Caenorhabditis elegans: one gene and its partner. The protein of the gene in region 1 interacts with the protein of each later gene in a pairwise test. Each region holds a gene or a part of one and is shown in the gene's direction. Other genes may lie near its edges. The genes, in order: C29F5.1 and lgc-22.

Region 1 (5,115 bases):
CAAATATCGATGTATAAAAGGCAAGAATAAATGATGAATAGAAGTGAGGATAAGGTAACATTAGATCAGTGTTGCTTCATTGTGGGTAGTGTTCTGTTGACAAAAAAGTGTCTCCTAAGTTTAGATTTTCCTGTGCTCCAGATATATTTCTTTTTAGAACGAGTGTGGGTCTCTTGTTGCTCAAAAAACTCAGATGTTTTTAAGTCTACTTTACCAGTATTCATTCTGATTACTTGGATTCTGTCAATTATTTTACGTCTCGTGCTTAAGGTTTGGAGGTCGAATAGTTCGTTACGTTCCATGGCAGTTTTGTAATCTTTATCAGTTGGATTAATATATCTTTTTTTGATTCTACTATAAAGGCGCCTAGAAAATGCGTTTTGTACAGACTCTATTGCTTTCTCATCCGATTTTTTTGTCGGAGAAGACACTACTGTTCCATATTCTAAACGAGGGCGGATGAAAGTTTTGTATAAGAGAATCATTAGTTTCTTATTGGAGGTACTGTACTGGTTGAACATGTTGGCCAGTTGAAATTTAGCTAGATTGATACATTTCTTCCAATGCTCAGAGAAATCCAGCTTTTCAGAGAATAAAAATCCAAGGTCTCTGGTAATAGCTTTTCGTTCAATAGGGTAACCGTCTAGGTGGTATTTGAAATCTATTCTACGTTTTTCTACAGTGACGTGAACTGTCTTTGATTGGTTTAGAGTGAGTTTTGATCCCCTTGTCCAATCTACTACAGCATCTAGAGCAGACTGTAAATTGTTTTCGCTTTCAGTCTTAGGGGTCGATACATACAATTTCGTGTCATCTGCAAACTGTTTACATGCTACTTTTTCGGGTAATATTGATGATATATCATTAACATAGATACCAAACAAAAGTGGTGACAGAACTGCGCCTTGTGGGACGCCACAAGTGGCCAATTTTCTGGATGACAGCGTTTGCCCAATTCTAACCCTAAAGCTTCTATTTGATCCTTTGTTGGCACAATCTTCTGGAAATTGATACTCCTCGATATCCAATTGATCACAAACATCGATATTCTTCAGAGTCTCTTTTTTAAATATCCAATCAACATTATTTAGCATATTTTGAAGGGAATTAACAGTCTACAGAAATTTATATTTATTCATCCTTTGTGAACAGTATGGAAGCGTTTTGAATAAAAAAGTTCCCAAGTTTTTGTTTAATGTTGCTCGAATTTTTATTTGCTAATCTTTTTGAGGTTTGAAATCTAACTGGTTGGGAAATCGTTCTGTCTAAAATTTATCATTATGAGCTTTCAAATAAAATATTTGTCATTCTACAGCCTCGTGATACAGATTTCTGTCTTTAGAAAATTATAAATTAAGCGAACGCTGAAATACTTATTCTCAACATTTTAAATTATTCGTTATCACAAAAACGTAGCCCAATGCTCCCACTCCAGGTGATGGTCAATCGATGTGTGCGTGTGTCCTCCAAATCTATACGAAATCTTTTCATTGTCTTTATTTTCTCCGAGATATTGGGATCCCGTCATCATCATCGGTGTTTCGAAACTTTGTCGATGAGATTGGACGGGAGCTCCTGCTCCCCCGCATTGTAATCTTATCTGAGTCTCTGTCTTCATAGACTATTTTTTGTTCCCGAACACCCCCTCATGTGCTCTCTCTCTCTCTTTCGTAGGGATCCGTTGTGCTGAAGAATGGCCTCTCTTTAAAACACAACACGTCGCTGGACAGATCGCCGTATAGCCGCTGTTCGATATGTCTGCCGACGGATTCTGGTTGTTTGAAGGTCTTGAAGAAGAACCATACGGTCTTCTTCCATTAAACAATTTATCTGGAAAGGTGAGTAGTTATTAAATATCGATGTAGGACTTTTTTTTTGGTTGGAGAATGTTTTTCTAGCTATTGTATTTCTTTACTTATTAATGAATTTCACAATTGAGAAGATGCCGAGCATTCACTTATGACCAACCAACATGGTAAAACTTCTTGATATTTTATTGTATTAGTTTAAAAGTTGTCTTCTAGATTTTTTGCTACAAAAATTAGAATTTTTAAGTTTCCTAGCTTAAAATTTTAAATGTCTTATGAAAATATTATAATTAGAAATATATGGAAGTTTTTTAAAAATATATGGAAATTTTTTTGTTGTATAAAGATCCATTAAAAATTAAATGATTTGCTGAAGATTTTGTGGAAAAAATGTATGAAAGTAAATGTGAGATTACAGTAAACGTGAGAGCGAATCATCTACTGTTTTCGTTAATAAAAATCAATTTTACAGGGAGGACCAACAAGTACAAAATATGTAGACCGTATTGGATCGTATCAATGGTATCTCAATGATGAGACAGCAACTATTCTTGTTCCAGGAGCACCTGTTGAATCATTCTATTGGCCAGGTGGCAAGTTGATGCAAGATCATGGAGTGATTATTTATGACGTCAATCATTTGAAAGTGAGTTCATAAGTTGTTGACTGAAACACGAGTTGAAGCACGAGAAGCGTGTAGATTTTTTTATTTGGAAAACAAAAATCAATCCATTTTTACAAGCAATGTGCTGATTTGGAAATCAATATAATTACAGGTACGGGAAGGATCTTTGGATGCCATCATTATTGCGGCACGTTTGCTCAGTGAGAAAAAGAAGAAACCAATCGATTTCTCTCAATTCCATTTTATCACGGATGCTATCAATTTGCAAAAGATTTTTGCATTCTGTAATGAAGCCGGAGAAGGATTGTTCCGAATCGATTGTGAACGCGTTGGAAAGACTGTTCTGCTCACTAGGTAAAAATAAATAGGTAGTATATATACCTATGTATAGGTAATAAATAAAAATAAGGTACCGTATATCCTCTATTAGTTTTGCACCCCTTGGCTCAACTTTGGCAGCTCATATCTCAGTAGTCGTTTGTTCTATAGAAAAGTTGTCAACTGATAAAATATTTGTTAGGTGGTTTTCTATAGTATGTAGTTTGTTAATTATTTATATGTTCAAAACAAAATGAGATATGAGCTGTCAAAGTTGAGCAAAGGGGTGCAAAACTAATAGAGGATATACGGTAGGCATGCAAACTGAAAACGAGAAAATTTAGTTTTATCTGTTTATTAAAAACTTTTTTGTTTTTAAAAAGTTTTTATAGTTTTCGTGATGCTTAGTAACTGGATTTTTCAAAATTCAGAAAAGTTTAGAACTTGAAATAAATTCTTGAAAAATTCGCACCAAAAAGTGAACATCTGCCTTGTCAGCCCTTCTCAAAGCAAAACTTCTAAACTTTTCGGTATTCTTATTTACTCAAAACAAACCAATAATTGTATTTCAGAATGGAAGCTTCTGATTTAATGGAAATCGGACATGTAACTTTTGATCAAAATCTGAAACATCGAATGACTCGCCCCCGTGGTGCTCATTCAACGGGTCCATTCTTCCAACTTGTTTCATATCAATATGGGCAATTCCGAATTCTTGTTAGATATGAAGTTGACTGTGCTGATTATGCAGCTGTCAAAGCCACTCCGTATGTTTTTTTTTGTAATAGTAAACAAAAAATTAAATTATTTTAGAGTCCCAGTAGATAAATCTGAAGTTCTGCCAGAGAAAAAGAAAAGTGATATGAACCCGGATATTGAAGTAGTGAATTATGGAGAAGTACCACATGATGTTCCACTTCAAGTACTCACAACATACCCACAAGGAGCTGGATTCCCATTTTTCACGTGGGCTCAGTTGTTCTTCACTAATGCTAACCATGTAAGTTTATGAAATATTTTGAAAAAAGATTTTTATACTCGACTGTAACTTAGACAGAATTATGAACATCTTGTCAATGTCTTGTCCAAGTATATGTAGATAGATTTTGGTACGATATTTCCAACAGATGCTTCCAACTTGGACAAAAAAGGTTTATCCACGCTTTTTGCAACTTCTGCCACAACTTTTACCATTTTATTATTTTTTGAGCGCATAATGAACAGCGTTTTTTGAGAGAGATTTTCTCAATATAAAATAGTTATGGGCCTACGAAATTGCGCAAAAAATAAAACTCATCAGATCAATAATTTTACATTTTCCACCCATCAAAAAAATTATCTAATTGCAGGAGCTTCTTGGTTGGTTCAAAGGAAACGGAGATTTCGGAAAGCCAGCTATTTACACTTTGCAAGATGTCTCTAAAATGATGAAGCCCCTTCCGTTGGTCTCTTTGTGCAAAGTTCACGACTGTCTTGACAAAGTTTACAAATTCTTGACTAAGAACGATGACAATTTCCGATGTGGACTTGTGTGGAAAGGAAAAGCTCATCTGGAAATCTTCGCGAAACACGAAGAAGCAACTGGTGGAATCAGTAAGGGAGTCCGTGATTTCTTGGCTACACAATGCAAAGATGATGAGCCAGAAGAGCAAAAGTGATTGATGAATGACCGTTTCCAATTTAATTTCCTTTTTGTATAATGTGTTCTAACAAATAAATAATTGTGTTTTGGAAGCGAGAATCATTAAATAGAAACCAGTTTTATCATCACTTCTTGGAAAAGAAGAACAATGTCCGTTGTTATTTCTAGACTTTCCAGCTTAAAACACACCTATAAATGGCCCCTCTGATATGATCAATGTTGATTCAAACTTATGATGATTCTATTCATTTTTTTCATTTTATTCATATGCCACGTCACTAGTTTCCACGTAACTCATATCAGTGACTGTGGAACTGCAAGAGGTTGTTGGAAACTACCAAATGGATGTAAAGATGCCAGTGACTGTCAGACAATGATGACGTGGAAACATGAAAGAAGACATTTGATTATTGAAATTGAAAGTAAACTGGTGAAGCCTGATATGTGGCTCGGTTTCGGATTTTCAAAAGATGGTTTGATGGTAGGCTTGTTTGGAAGTTTTGAAATGTTGCTTTATTCTTGTCTCTAAATGTTGCTAATTGTGAAAGCATTCAAATTTTAAAAAATCGTGTGTAAGACTTATCATGTTCCAGTCCTGTTCTTAACTGCCAAACTCCTCATTTTTATCGGCTAGCAATACAGTTTTTTTTTAATTTTCTAGAGCGCCTATAATCATCATCCCAGGATAACAGAAAAACGATTAGCTTAAAAGTATGACTGTT
Region 2 (5,933 bases), on another chromosome or scaffold:
GAATGTAATAATTTTTTTTTAAAATTAATTTTTTCAATTGTTTATTCCATTATTTGTTATTTTTTTGTTTTGCAAAAAATTAAACGAAAATTCAATTTTTTCAGTTTTGGAGGAAATTTTTATTTTAAAAATTGGTTTTTTTACTGGAATTTGAAAACAGTTTTGCCGGAAATTTCAAAAAAAAAACTTTACAAAAATTCTAATGTTCCAAAGTGTTGTGAAGAGTTTTGGCGGAAATTTCAAAATTTATATTTTTAAAACAAAAAATTGGCACTTCGGGATAATTTTGATTTTAAATTATCTAACAATTTTTGGCGGGAATTCAAATTTTGTTTTAATTTTTTTCAAAGTTTAAAAACAATTTAAACTTTAGTTTAAAAAACAATTGGCGGGAAATAAAAAAAACATTTTTAACAAAATATCTTCCGACAAGACAAGAATTTCAAATATCTTTAAAAAATATAATTTGAATTAAATTTCATTTTTCAAAAAAAAGAACCGGAATTTCAAATTTTAAATATCCTTTTAAACATTTTATCCAAAAAAAAAACCGGTCCTCTCTTTCATTTTCAGTCTGGGTTAAAAAAATTATCTATAAAAAATATGTATAATTTTATTCTTCTAAATTGTTAGTTGGAAAACTTTTGATGTCCATAAGCAATTAAGTCATAAATCAAAAACCAGCGAAATTCTAGTTTCTATCTCAAATCCCGATTCCAAAATCAGAAAATCCCATGACAGTCTAATCCCATAACGATTTGATCATTGGAAAGCCCTTTGTCGGTTTTTGCATGTAGGTGTCTTTTCTCCCCCGTCATTATCATTATCTCGGGAACAGGCCCCCACTTTACAACCTTATCATTATCTCAGCAGACCTGTTGCGTCGTCGTCAACGAGATCTGATGAGAAGAAGCTTAAGGCGGTGGCGGCGGCGTGTGGCGGCTAACTAGCCTTCGGACAACCCGTTTGGGGGATGTGAAGCTGGGCGGACGGGTCTCTCTTGCTTTTTTGTCGCGTTTATTGTTTCTTTTTTCGAGTCGTTTGTGGTCATTATCGGCATGTTTCGTACTTTTGATGAAAACCTTGCTTTCCGAGAATCAATTGGTTTTAATTTTCATTAATTTATATTATGTAAATATGGAATTTTTTCAAGTAAACTACTCTCTCCAGTCTTTTTTGCTCATTCAATTTTAATAAGTTGCGGCCGCCGTTTCCCTACTTTCAATCCAAGCAGAGTTCCTCTAAGGCCCCTCCACTTGATTACACATATCGGTTAAATTTTTAATTTTTGTAAGTTTTTGATTGAAGTAATACTTTTTAAACAAAACTAAACCCAAACGAGATATAAGCTGTAAAAAAAAAAGAAATAAGAAAATCCGATAACAGAAACAAAAATTGTTTGTAAACATTTTCGTTCTGCATAACTAATTGAAAGTGAAGTTTTTTTTTCAATAATTTTCAAATCTATGAATAATCTTCAAAACGTTCACTAAGGCTTATCAAATCACCTGTGACGGCACAAAGGAGCTTTCTGTAGTTATAAAGAGATGGCCAAAGAGCCACACGTGAACTCACAAAACGAAACCTCTCATTGGCCGAAAAAGTTTTTAGGACGTCACCATTTTGAATTTTCTAGGCTCCCTGTAACATCATAATTGTAACCTATAGGACTAGCAGGTGACCGTGGCCGAGTTATTTTCAGGCCGAATGGCTTTGACCGAAGCAATTTCTAAGCTCACTGTCATCATTATATCTTCATCAATTTATTTTTAAAATGGTCAATTCAATTGATCATGTCAAAAAAGGTCGCCGTTCTTACACAAAGTCATATGGGGTAAAAACAGAAAAAAAACCAAAAAAAAGTTGAAAATCGACCATTTCAAATCTAGTTTACACAACAAAAAAAGAAGATACAAACGACGAAACCGGGGCGGTTCGTATTCCATTCCTCTCGTTACCCTTGACTACCACTTAATTATTGATGATCACTTTTCTTTTCAGTTGCCTTCTTTTTTTTTCAACCATTCTTTCAAGTCCGTTATACTCTTCAATACTTAAATACTTCCAGAATGCTTCGGCTTCTCATTGCCACGTCACTGGCCGCCACGTTAGCGTGGGCGGCGGGCACCGCCGGCGGCTGCGAGGACGCGGACCCCAAATGCACCGAATGGGCGGCCACCGGGGAATGTGCTACCAATGCGGTCTGGATGATGGCAAACTGTAGGAAATCTTGTCATTCCTGTCAGGGAGGAGACAGGGCCTGGAAGCTCAGGACCCATATCCAGACCACTTACCAAAATGCGACTGATAACAAGACGAAGGTGGTGAGAGTTGAGAGCGTCCGAATCAACAATGTCGAGATTGACGAACGTCGGCAGAATGTGAAGGTGTTTGGCAGATTCGTGCTCAGCTGGAACGACACTATGGTCTCTTGGGATAAGGAACAGTGGGGGCTCAGTTGGTTGAACTTCTACTGGATTCAAATTTGGACCCCAAATATTGTGCAGATCAACGGTGGCTCTACATCAAACCCTGGACAGGTGACATCAAAAGTTTTGGCTGCAAATTACACCGGACAGATCTACTTATGGTCGGATTTCTCATTCACTACACCGTTCAGATTCCAGTATGAAGACTATCCAAATGATATGCAGAGGGTGGGTAGATTTTATTATCAATGTTTTAAGAATCAATTTGCCGTTTGGCTTGAAAAAATTTAGAAACACGTACAAAACTATAGAAAAATACTGGTTTACAACATTCTGTCAGTTGGCAATTTTTGATGGAATATGCCAGATATCTTTTGAGAAACTTGAACAATTCGGTGCAAAATTTTTGAACATGGTGCATCGACCCAAATTTTATATCTTTTATCTCTATTTATTTCAAAATTATAGGGGTTAGAAAGCTGAAAAAGTATTAACCCAGTGACTAATTCGTAGGTAACACCTTGTTTGAAAACATGATTCACCGATTACTTATTAATGTAAAATTTTGAATAAAGTTTTTGAGATTTTAAAATTTGAATTTAAGTGTATAGAATCTTGTTTGACAAAGTAACCTTTTTTGAATTTTCAAATTTTCAAATTCAGGTTTGCTATAAATTCGACGACAAACGTCTTATGGCAGTACACTTCACAGTTGCAGAGGGTGTTAAGAATAAGGAAAGAGAAGCCACCACTGATCCATTCGTGTCTGGATGGAAGATTGAAGACGTTGAAGTTGTGGTGAGTTTTTGAGATACTTTGGAAACTTGCAGAAGTTATAGCATTTTTTCAAACCAAATTTTTTGTGTGTTTTTTTTTTAATTGAAATTAAAATTTTCTTTAAAGTCAATTACCCACTCTCCGGATAACGGAGGCACTGGAAAAAATGGATTGGCAAGTTTTGTGTGATGCTTCTCATTTCACAGCTTCTTGTAAATATAGTACAGAGCTTTCGCTTAATTTAACCGCAATATTTATCAATTTTTAATTCAGAGCTTCAGCTTCTACCTAACAGTCTCAATTTTCACCATTTTCAATGTTTTTTCAGGAATCCCCATACACCGTGGAGCAGCTCTCGGATCCTCGTCGTAATCCCTTCGATGTCCAAGCTGACAACGGTGAGCTCTGTATTTCGCTGAGAAGAAATGCGGTATATTTCACCGCCGAAATGTTGCTCCCAGCTCTGATCACCTCTCTATTCACGCTGGCCGCTGTGTTCTTCCAACTTTCTAAGACCCAGCCGATTCTTTTGGGATTCTCGGTAGTTGCACAGATTTTGTCACTTATTTTAGTGTCTCAGAGACTTCCATCGTTCACTGCACATACTCCAACTATTTGTAAGTTTATTTCTGTGCCAAGAAAGCTAATATGTGAGCGGATTTGCGTCAAAATCATTTGAAAATTAAAAAAAATTATTTTTGAACAAAAGTTAATTGCATATCGCTTCATTTTATTTTTCGGAAAAAACTACATTTCAGTTTTGCGCCAATTTAAATTGAAAGACTAAAAATTAAATTGTTAGCAATAATTTAAAATTTTATTATTTTTCGTAAAATTTTTTCCTTATAAAACTTTTTAATATTTTCAAATATTTTTAATTTTGGCCACTTCTAATTTAAACTCTGAAAAGTTTAGCTTGATCAAAAAAAGTTAACCTTAGTTTTTGAAAAAATTTCAAAATTTTCAGAAATTTTTCGAAATAATTCCCAAAAAATTCAAACATTTTCATACTCGAATATGTTAGGCTTTTCGTTGTTAAAACTGCCAATATGTGGACGGACGGAGTCGCATCAAAAATATCAAAAAAATTTTGAAATCGATTTTAAATAATTTTCAATCATTTGAAATTGGAATTTGCCGCCAGATTTATTTGAAAAATCGCATCTCGCCTCAATGTTTTTTTTTTTGGAAAAATTAAACGTTTTTTTTTTTTATATTTCAATTTGGTTTTATTTTTTAAATTTTTGGAAAAATTAAATTTCAATTTTGCACCAAATTAATTTGAACATTTTAAAGTTTGTCAAATACTTTTGGCTGAATTGTAAATGTTTTGAAATTAAAAAAAAACACCTCGAATTCAACACTTTTGGGAAGTTTAGCTAGATCAAAAAATTAAAAGCATTATTTTTTTATTTTACAGAACCAAGTTGTAAAAAATGATCAAAAGACTGCTAAAATTCAAAAAAAAATAATAAAAATTTTCCAATAACTTCCAAAACTTCAAATCGCTCTGAAATTATTGATATAAATTTTTTGCAAAATCTCAGAAAATTTTCGAAATTTTTCTCAAAGCTTCCGAAATTTCAAAATTTTTCAGTGAAATACGCCGGCTTCAACATGACGTGGACAGCGATCCTCTTCGTAATTTCCCTAGTTCTCGAGAGAATGGCAACTTCACAAGTAGACATCCCACCCCCACATGGAGTCTCCACATTTGCCGGGCTCGTGAACAAGTTCCTTCCAATTCCGAAGAACTCAAAACACGAAGATTCAACTCTCCAATACGCTGCATTTGCTCATGCTCTGAACCACGTCATCTTCGCTTTATCCACTGTTCTCTACTTTATCGTTATATTGTTCTCTTTTGTTTTTTAAATTTTAGTTTTCTTTTTGCAATATTTTTTGTAAAAATTAGTTGTTCTTGCTCAGTTTCTCTTGACACTAATAATTTCGCCATATCGAAAATCATGTATAATAAAGACATTTTTAATGAAACATTGATTCTAGCAATACTTCAATTCAGACCAAATTCTAACTTTTGTTTTCTAAATTTTGGTGGGAAGTACTTAAGTTTCGTTTCGACGACCTTTCGATCATGAAACTTCTGCCCGGCAAGGTGATTCTGGAGTGAGCGGAACAGATGGTAGTCAGTAGGAGCCAAGCCCGGCGAATACGATGGGTAAGACAAAATTTGGATTCCGACTGTCTGGAGCTTCTGGCGGGTCTTAGAAGTTGTATGCGGTCTTGCGTTGTCATGGAGCAGCAACAACTTTGATCCTCTAGGGCGATGTAATCGATGAGCATGGACCACCTCTTCCAATTAAATGCAGTATAGGCCAGCGTTGATTGTAGCAAAGTCTGGAAGAAGCTCTCTGGAAATGACACCCTTACTGTCCCGCCCAATTGAGAGAAGCACTTTTTTCCGTGAAGTTCTCATTTGAGGTCAGGTGTCGCGGTTTCCTCGACCGGGACCCACTCTTTTTTCCTGGTATGGCTAACATACAATACCCATTTATCATTTCCAGTAATGATATCCTTAACCCAGTCCGTTGTTCGTTTCCTAGTGAGCAGCGAAAGAGAGAGGTCACAAAGCAATTTTTCTGAGAATCGGACAATTTGTGAGGAACGAGTTGACCGAACTTTTCTATCTTTCCGGTTTTTTGGAGATGGTTGATGATGGTTTTTTGGGGATGCTTGAAAGTCGCAGAAAGTTCGCGTGACGTTGCT

Evidence for each region.
Region 2: the proteins of C29F5.1 (region 1) and lgc-22 interact in a two-hybrid assay, tested with the Caenorhabditis elegans proteins (one large-scale study listed by BioGRID).

The regions. Positions count from the first base shown.
Region 1 is NC_003280.10:6,301,801-6,306,915, forward strand, and holds C29F5.1 (START domain-containing protein), read left to right. Parts: upstream 1-1,724; 5' UTR 1,725-1,754; coding exon 1,755-1,838; intron 1,839-2,280; coding exon 2,281-2,454; intron 2,455-2,584; coding exon 2,585-2,787; intron 2,788-3,323; coding exon 3,324-3,518; intron 3,519-3,564; coding exon 3,565-3,751; intron 3,752-4,100; coding exon 4,101-4,409; 3' UTR 4,410-4,483; downstream 4,484-5,115. Other genes in the region: C29F5.8 (DOMON domain-containing protein), read left to right, coding at 4,629-4,874.
Region 2 is NC_003282.8:4,299,240-4,305,172, forward strand, and holds lgc-22 (ShKT domain-containing protein), read left to right. Parts: upstream 1-2,066; 5' UTR 2,067-2,069; coding exon 2,070-2,657; intron 2,658-3,092; coding exon 3,093-3,227; intron 3,228-3,332; coding exon 3,333-3,380; intron 3,381-3,534; coding exon 3,535-3,823; intron 3,824-4,803; coding exon 4,804-5,081; 3' UTR 5,082-5,209; downstream 5,210-5,933.